Cricetulus griseus: one gene and its partner. The protein of the gene in region 1 binds, or shares a complex with, the protein of each later gene. Links are inferred from orthologs where the notes say so. Each region holds a gene or a part of one and is shown on either strand. Other genes may lie near its edges. The genes, in order: Prkaa1 and Prkag1.

Evidence for each region.
Region 2: the proteins of Prkaa1 (region 1) and Prkag1 are in contact, whole or in part, in a crystal structure (PDB 6C9H), measured with the Homo sapiens proteins. The link is inferred for Cricetulus griseus from reciprocal best matches to the Homo sapiens genes PRKAA1 and PRKAG1. Residues at the interface, in NP_006242.5 of Homo sapiens: Ser295, Ser296, Thr297, Met298, Ile299, Asp301, Glu302, Lys305, Arg342, Glu347, Ala348, Phe351, Tyr352, Leu353, Arg369, His371, Pro372, Glu373, Pro376, Phe377, Asn449, Val451, Thr452, Thr536, Pro537, Arg538, Gly540, Ser541, His542, Thr543; in NP_002724.1 of Homo sapiens: His36, Asp40, Leu41, Ile42, Pro43, Thr44, Ser45, Val50, Leu64, Val65, Gly68, Val69, Arg70, Trp75, Ser77, Lys78, Lys79, Gln80, Phe82, Pro158, Glu159, Ser160, Gly161, Asn162, Lys170, Arg171, Lys174, Phe175, Leu178, Phe179.

The regions. Positions count from the first base shown.
Region 1 is NC_048595.1:339,153,978-339,157,792, forward strand, and holds part of Prkaa1 (5'-AMP-activated protein kinase catalytic subunit alpha-1), read left to right. Parts: intron 1-1,202; coding exon 1,203-1,689; intron 1,690-1,799; coding exon 1,800-1,926; intron 1,927-3,815. UniProt on the Homo sapiens protein: Catalytic subunit of AMP-activated protein kinase (AMPK), an energy sensor protein kinase that plays a key role in regulating cellular energy metabolism.
Region 2 is NC_048595.1:395,285,480-395,289,294, reverse strand, and holds part of Prkag1 (5'-AMP-activated protein kinase subunit gamma-1), read left to right. Parts: intron 1-1,104; coding exon 1,105-1,214; intron 1,215-1,344; coding exon 1,345-1,426; intron 1,427-1,521; coding exon 1,522-1,580; intron 1,581-1,725; coding exon 1,726-1,771; intron 1,772-1,875; coding exon 1,876-1,930; intron 1,931-2,305; coding exon 2,306-2,432; intron 2,433-2,622; coding exon 2,623-2,788; intron 2,789-2,969; coding exon 2,970-3,007; intron 3,008-3,254; coding exon 3,255-3,401; intron 3,402-3,534; coding exon 3,535-3,642; 3' UTR 3,643-3,815. UniProt on the Homo sapiens protein: AMP/ATP-binding subunit of AMP-activated protein kinase (AMPK), an energy sensor protein kinase that plays a key role in regulating cellular energy metabolism.

The DNA of each region.
Region 1 (3,815 bases):
AGACAGCCAGGGCTATATAGAGAGACCCTGCCTGCTGAAAAGGAGATCCCAAGTGGCAGGGCATGGCTTTAGCTCCCAGATGGGAAGGGAAACTGGTTCTATTAAATTGATGTTGTAAAATATCCAAGTGAGAAGTAGATTTGCATGTTTTAGGTATTTTTTTCATAATTAAAATCTGATAGAAATGCTACGCATGGTGGCACACAGCCATAATTCCAGTACTTGGGAAGCTGAAGGAGGATGGCAGTGAGTTTGATTCCAGCCTGGTCTACATGGTGAGATTCTGTCTCAAGACCAGTCTCCATTTGGAAACAAACAAATGCCCTTAAAATTACAAAACAAAACAAAACAAAACAAAAACAAGAGAATAAAATAATACTTTTGGTCAGTTTCTTAGACAATAACCATTATTCTTTGGGGTATTTTCTTCTGTGTTTTGGTGTTGTTTTCATTTTCATTTTTGTTTTTTAAGTTTTAGCATAGTTCTTGATATGGTTCAATATCCATTTATATGTGCAGTTAAATGATATAATAGGGAATCATTCAGAGAATAGCCTTTTGAGTCATACAGAATTGGGTCATGAGGATGAGGATAAATTTTATGTGTATGAATTGCTTAGCCTGAAACTAATTATACAGTAAGAAGTTTTTTTTTTTTTTTTTTTCATGTAACATGAGGCAGTATAAACAAGAGAATACAGTGAAGCTACACAACATAGTTTCTTTCTGAGCTGGAAAAAAATCTGTACTTTGTCATTGTCATTTGGGTAGACATACCTTTTCATTTGGCTGCAGCAATCCTTAAAAATTAGTGCCAGGGCCGGGCAGTGGTGCTGCATGCCTTTAATCTCAGCACTCGGGAGGCAGAGGCAGGTGGATCTCTGTGAGTTTGAGGCCAGCTTGGTCTATTGAGTGAGTTTCAGGACAGTCAGGGTTATACAGAGAAACCCTGTATTAATGCCGAGCCCCCCCCCCCCCCGCCGCCTCTCCCCCCCAAAAAAACCCCTAGCAGCAGGCTACAACATTTTTCTCAACATACTCAGTGAAGTATGAGCTAGAAGAAGAAAAAGTTAAAAAAAAAATGGTAGTAATATAGTGTGGGTAGAAATTAAATTAATTCATTTCTTAAACTCTTGAAAGTTATTGTTTTTATTCTTGGTTTTACTCAAAATTCTTCCCCTCACACTGCTGTTTCCTCTTAGGGAACATGAATGGTTTAAACAGGACCTTCCAAAATATCTCTTTCCGGAGGATCCATCATACAGTTCAACCATGATTGATGATGAAGCCTTAAAAGAAGTGTGTGAAAAGTTTGAATGTTCGGAGGAGGAGGTTCTCAGCTGCCTTTACAATAGAAACCACCAGGACCCATTGGCAGTTGCCTACCACCTCATAATTGATAACAGGAGGATAATGAACGAAGCCAAAGATTTCTACTTGGCAACAAGCCCACCTGATTCTTTCCTAGACGACCACCATTTAACTCGGCCACATCCTGAAAGGGTACCATTCTTGGTTGCTGAAACACCAAGGGCACGGCACACCCTTGATGAATTAAACCCACAGAAATCCAAACACCAAGGTGTGCGGAAAGCAAAGTGGCATTTGGGAATTAGAAGTCAAAGTCGGCCAAATGATATTATGGCAGAAGTTTGTAGAGCAATCAAGCAATTGGATTATGAATGGAAGGTAAGAAGGCAAGCATTCTACCTAACACATTTGGGAAACCTGCAGACAAAAAGTCTTTTGTAGAAGAATTGATTGGATGTGCCTTTGTTTTTGTCCATATCATATGCTAGGTTGTAAACCCCTATTATTTGCGTGTACGAAGGAAGAACCCCGTGACAAGCACATTTTCCAAAATGAGTCTACAGCTATACCAAGTGGATAGTCGGACTTACTTACTGGATTTCCGTAGTATTGATGGTATGTACACAAAAACCCATAGAGGTAATATGGTATACCTGTTTAACTAATTTGGTTTATAGTTTTTTCTTTTCTTTTGTTTTGAATTAAAACTAAGCATGAAAAGTAGTAAGTTCCTCCCTCCCTCCCTCCCCCTCCCCCTTTTCCTCACCCACCCATGTGTACATGGGGTGAGGGCAGCAGAGGTCAATGTCAGCTGCCTTCTCCATCACTCTCCATCTTACTTTTGAGATAAGGCCTCTTTCCAAACAGGAGGTTGCCCCTTAGGCTAGACTTACTGGCCTGCAAGCCCCAGGGATCCTCTCATTTCCAGCCTTCAGTGTTGGGGTTATAGATGTGCACCTCCTGGCCTGGCTTTTACATAGGTGCCGAGGATTGGAATTGAGGTCCTTATGCAGTGCGGCAGGCTCTTTATCTACCAAGTCATCTCCCTAGCCTCCAGTATGATACTTTCATACAGATACTTTGTTTTTAATCATCCTCCCCCACTGCCCTCTCCATCTTCAACCTTTGTGTCTAATGAAACTTCCTGGCTTTTTCCTGGGAAGTAATAGTAAATGTGACTTCTGTGCTCCATGACACCGACAACTGTGAATCCTGTTATTCTTGTTCCATGTAGTACATTGTTCTTTTACAGTTCATCATCCCGGGGCTAGGAATTTAGTTCAGTAGTGAAGTTCTTGTCTAGCATACACAAAACACTGTCTTCAATCACCACTCCCATCTCTCCCAAGGTAGAAAATGATTATTGTCCTGTAAAATCTTTAAAAATATACAGCTTAATTCTAAAGTGATAATTTTCTTTCATATTTCTGTTGCTTTGTTCATTCTGGCAACATAAATTTTTTATTGAAAAGCAAAGGTTGATGTTACTGTAGTTTTATTTACTATTAAGTACTTTAAGAAAATAAATACAAGATTATGGCTGTCCTTCCAAATCAGTTAACCAGTATTATGGGAGGATATTTAGAATTACTACTTACAGACTCAAAGTCAGCACCTACAGAGTTTAAGAAAGACAAAGGCTTGAGCTGTGATATATTCTGGCCAACATGATGGAATGGTTATTTACTTTTGAGAAAGGGTCTTCTATGTAGGCTGGCCTGGTTTGGAGGGACAGTCCTCTTTGTTTCATCTCTGAGTGCTGGTTACAGGTGTGCACCATGCTCAGATGTCTGGATAACATGTACCTGTCATCTAACACACATCAGTACAGTTTGAGGTCGGGAGCCAGCTTTATTTTTCTCTTGGTATTTAGATAATTTTGCAGTCATAGTTATATCAACTCTTGGACTTGACCAAGTGAATGAATACTTACTATTTCTATATTTCTGCTCTAGTACTATTTCTACTTGTATTCTGTTCCCAACTAGTTTCTCTTTGATTTCACTTTTAGTGTTACTTTTGTGGTGCTAGAGATGAATCCAGGCCTTTTCAATAAGCTCTAGCCCCAGCCCTCTTTTTACTTGTTATTTTGAAGGAAGGTCTCACAAGTTACCCAGGTTGTCCTTGAACTCTCTAGCTCAGGTAGGCCTTGAACTTATGACCCTCCTGCTTTAGCTTCCTGAGTAGCTGGGATTGAAGGCCTGTACCACTAGTCCCTGCTTTTCTGGTTTTGCTTATTGCAATTGTTGCTCTGTTATGCTCGCAGATGAAATAGGAGAAACTGCAGAGTGAAAAGCACTGAACTGAAGTTGGGAGGGTAGAGTGCCCAAATGGCCGAACCTTTCTGTTCATTTGTTTCCTTGAACAAATCATTGTTTTCTCTGGCTTTGTTTTATATTAGTAAAATGGTTCTTGGCTGAGATGATTTCCAAGATATCATCCATATTTCAAGAGATTGATTCTGTGCTTTTAATAGAAAAGACTTTTAGTGGTAGGGGATTTTT
Region 2 (3,815 bases), about 56 Mb from region 1:
GAACATCCTAAGTATTATTTTGGAGGGTTGCCTTTCCAGTTTAGAGCAAGCAGTTAAAAAACACAGACTGGGGGCCAGGCGGTGGTGGCTCATGCCTTTAGTCCCAGCACTCAGGAGGCAGAGGCAGACAGATTTCTGTGAGTTTGAGGCCGGCTTCTTCTATAGAGCTAGTTCCAGGCCAGCCAGGGCCACACACACACACACACACACACACACACACACACACACACACACACACACACAAAAAAAAAAAAAAAAAAAAAAAAAAAAAAAAAAAACCCTGTCTAGAAAAACAAAAACAACAACAAAACCCCAAAAAGCAAAAACACAGGCTGCCAGGCATGGTGTTGCATGCCCCAAATTCAGCACTTAGAGAACTAAGGCAGTAAGTTTATTACAAGCTTGAGGCAAGCCTGGGCTACATAGCAAGACTCTGTCTCAAGAAAATGAAGGGACTGGAGAGTTGGCTCAGCAGAAGAACACTGGCTTTTCTTCTAGAGGACTCAAGTCTAATTCCCAGCACCCACATGGCAGCTTACAACTGTCAGTAACTTCCAGGGGTTCCAACAATCAATCACCCTCTTGGCCTCAACAAGCAGCAGGCACACATTTGGTATACAGATATACAAGTGAAACACCCATACACAGTACACACAGATTATTTTAAAAAAAACAAACAAAACCTTATAGTTAATTTTAAAAGCAAAAAAGGAAATTTGTAAATCAGGAGAATGGAGGTAAATGTAGCCAGGCTCTCCCTTTGGGATTTCTGACTCACACTGTGATTCTGAGTGTTCTGGGCAAGCTCATTGAACACTTAGTGTTGTTAGAAATGGCCTTTCCTGAACCATGAATTTCTCACCTGCAGATCTTCAACAAATATAAAGAAGCTTGTTTGGTATCTCATCTTCGTTAAGAAAAGACAAAGGAAAATATGTTAACTAGGAAGAAAAGCTCTAATGAAAAGATGAGAAACAATAAAAGCAAAACAAAAATCTCTTCAAAGCTGAGAAACTAGAACTCTTTTTTGGTTTCTGTCTCTTCTGATTGTGAGTTCTTGCATAAAAGAAAGACACCAACTTCCCAACTCTTCCCCCTGTGCAGAGACTCCGGAATCAAACAATGGTGTGTATACATCCTTTATGAAGTCTCATCGCTGCTACGACCTGATCCCCACAAGTTCCAAGTTGGTTGTGTTTGATACTTCCCTGCAGGTGGGTGGAGCCCCTTTCCTCCTCTGCATTCTGAGGAGCCACTGGTTCAGTGCCCATCATCATACTTAGTACTTCCACATGCCAACCCCTTCTTTCTCACCACCTCATGCTCTCACTCTTTTGACTATAGGTAAAGAAAGCCTTCTTTGCCCTGGTGACTAACGGTGTTCGGGCTGCCCCTCTGTGGGATAGTAAGAAGCAGAGTTTTGTGGGTAAGCAGAAGTTTCTGGAAGACGCCCGTCGGCATCTTTTCCAGTCAGAGGGAGAAGCCTTGAACAGTGCTGAGGGCTCTTGTCTTGCCTTCTAGGCATGCTGACCATCACTGACTTTATCAACATCCTGCACCGATACTATAAGTCGGCCTTGGTAAGGAACCTGAGCTTCCAAAGCAAACCACATCCCTATCTTTGGTTGTTGCCTATGGGCCCCTCCTGCCTTGTTTTTTTCCCTCCAAGAAAAGAGTTAATGAAGAGGGGAGAGCAAGTCTCAGATCTGCTGCTTCTGCTTCTAGGTGCAGATCTATGAACTGGAAGAACACAAGATAGAAACTTGGAGAGGTACATAAAGAATTGGAGGTTGTGAAAGATGAAGGGATAAGGAGGGTTTCCTGGGAAACACTTTTATGTGGCAGTGTTTTGTGAACTACCCCCTTTCCCTTCAGAGGTATACCTACAGGACTCCTTTAAGCCCCTTGTCTGCATTTCTCCAAATGCCAGGTAAGTTAAGTTCTGGCTATGTGTTTATGTCTAAACACCCGAAGGCCCATGGGAGGGACATGAAAGAAGGAAAACTTCTTCCAGTGCATACAGCTATGCTTTTTTTGTTTTGGAGAAAAATGTCTCATACATAGCCAAGACTGGCCTTGACTTACTACAGAGCTCAGGCTGGCCTGAATTTAGGATTCTTCTGCCCATCCTCATACTGGCGTTCCAAGTACATCACCACCCCCAGCCACATCACACTACTTTAAGTCTGAGCACTGCCCCTTCCCCTGACCATGGATGTTCCCTGTCCATAAGCACACTCTAAGGAGCTGTACAGTTTGTCTGTAGCACTGTGGAGGCTGAGTATGACCTTCTACCTTTTCACAGCTTGTTCGATGCTGTCTCTTCATTAATTCAAAATAAGATCCACAGGCTTCCAGTCATTGACCCAGAGTCAGGCAACACCTTGTACATCCTTACTCACAAGCGCATCCTCAAGTTCCTCAAGCTGTTTGTAAGTGGACTTTAGCCCAGTTCCTTAGTCTCTTATCTGCTGGATTGGAGGCATGTATCCAACAGTTTGGGGGGCCTTAAAAGTCAAGGCAAGTCAGAGTTTTGGGTACTGAGGATTGAACCCAGCACATCATGCTCTACCACAGAGCTCCCTGAAAGCCAGTACTTCTGAAAGCCACTTCTTCCCTCAGATCACTGAGTTCCCCAAGCCAGAATTCATGTCTAAGTCTCTGGAAGAGCTACAGATTGGCACCTATGCCAACATTGCTATGGTCCGTACTACCACACCTGTCTATGTGGCTCTAGGCATCTTTGTACAGCACCGAGTCTCTGCCCTGCCTGTGGTGGATGAGAAAGGTGAGATATTGGGAAAGAAGAGGGAGGTTTCTAGGGGGTCAAGTGGCTCTGGGAAAACCTGCTTTCCCCTCAGCTCAGCCTAAAGGGTGAACCTATGGGTAGTAAGAGCTTTGGCTACCAGATTTTTGTTTTTTTTTGTTTGTTTGTTTGTTTTTTTTCTGAGCTGCCTCTGTCTCCCTAGGGCGTGTTGTGGACATCTACTCCAAGTTTGATGTGATTGTGAGTGACAGTGGAGGGGCTGGGAGGGAGGAGAAGGGGGGGTGTTGAATGTGGAGAGGGAACAAAAGGGGGCTGGCTCTTTGGTGTCAGATGCTTCTACAATTTGAACCCTATCTGGACAGTAGCTGAATGGACTGGTTGTGGCTTGTGGGCAGAGCTAAGGAGTGCCCTCAGTTCCTCTAGTGAGGTTGGGTTGGTCCAGGGCTTAGGAACTGGTCCCCTTTCAAGCCCATCTCCCCACCTCCAGAATTTGGCAGCAGAAAAGACCTATAACAACCTGGATATATCTGTGACAAAAGCTCTACAACACCGGTCTCACTACTTTGAGGGTGTTCTCAAGTGCTATCTACAGGAGACTCTGGAGACTATCATTAATAGACTGGTGGAAGCAGAGGTAGGAAGTCAGCCCCTCTCAAGCAGCTAGTGGGGAGTGGCCTTGAGAGTGGTGTTTTCAAAGAGGGCAGGGGCTAAGGCACTCATCCTAACTGAAGTTGGCACTCACATTACTTTTCGTTGCTCTGTGCCAGGTTCACCGTCTGGTGGTGGTGGATGAGAACGACGTGGTCAAGGGCATCGTATCGCTGTCCGATATCCTGCAGGCTCTGGTGCTCACAGGTGGAGAGAAGAAGCCCTGAGCGTGGGGAGGGACAGGCAGCGCCAGGGAAGATGGCCCCCTCACTGCCTCCTGAGAGCTCTGGGAATCAGATGAAATCCTGGAAGAACCGAGTGTGTTCCCTCAGGAGCTCCATACCCACTGTCTGGAACTAGAGGAGACCGGAGGTGGGGGGGAGAAAGGACTTTTAGCTTC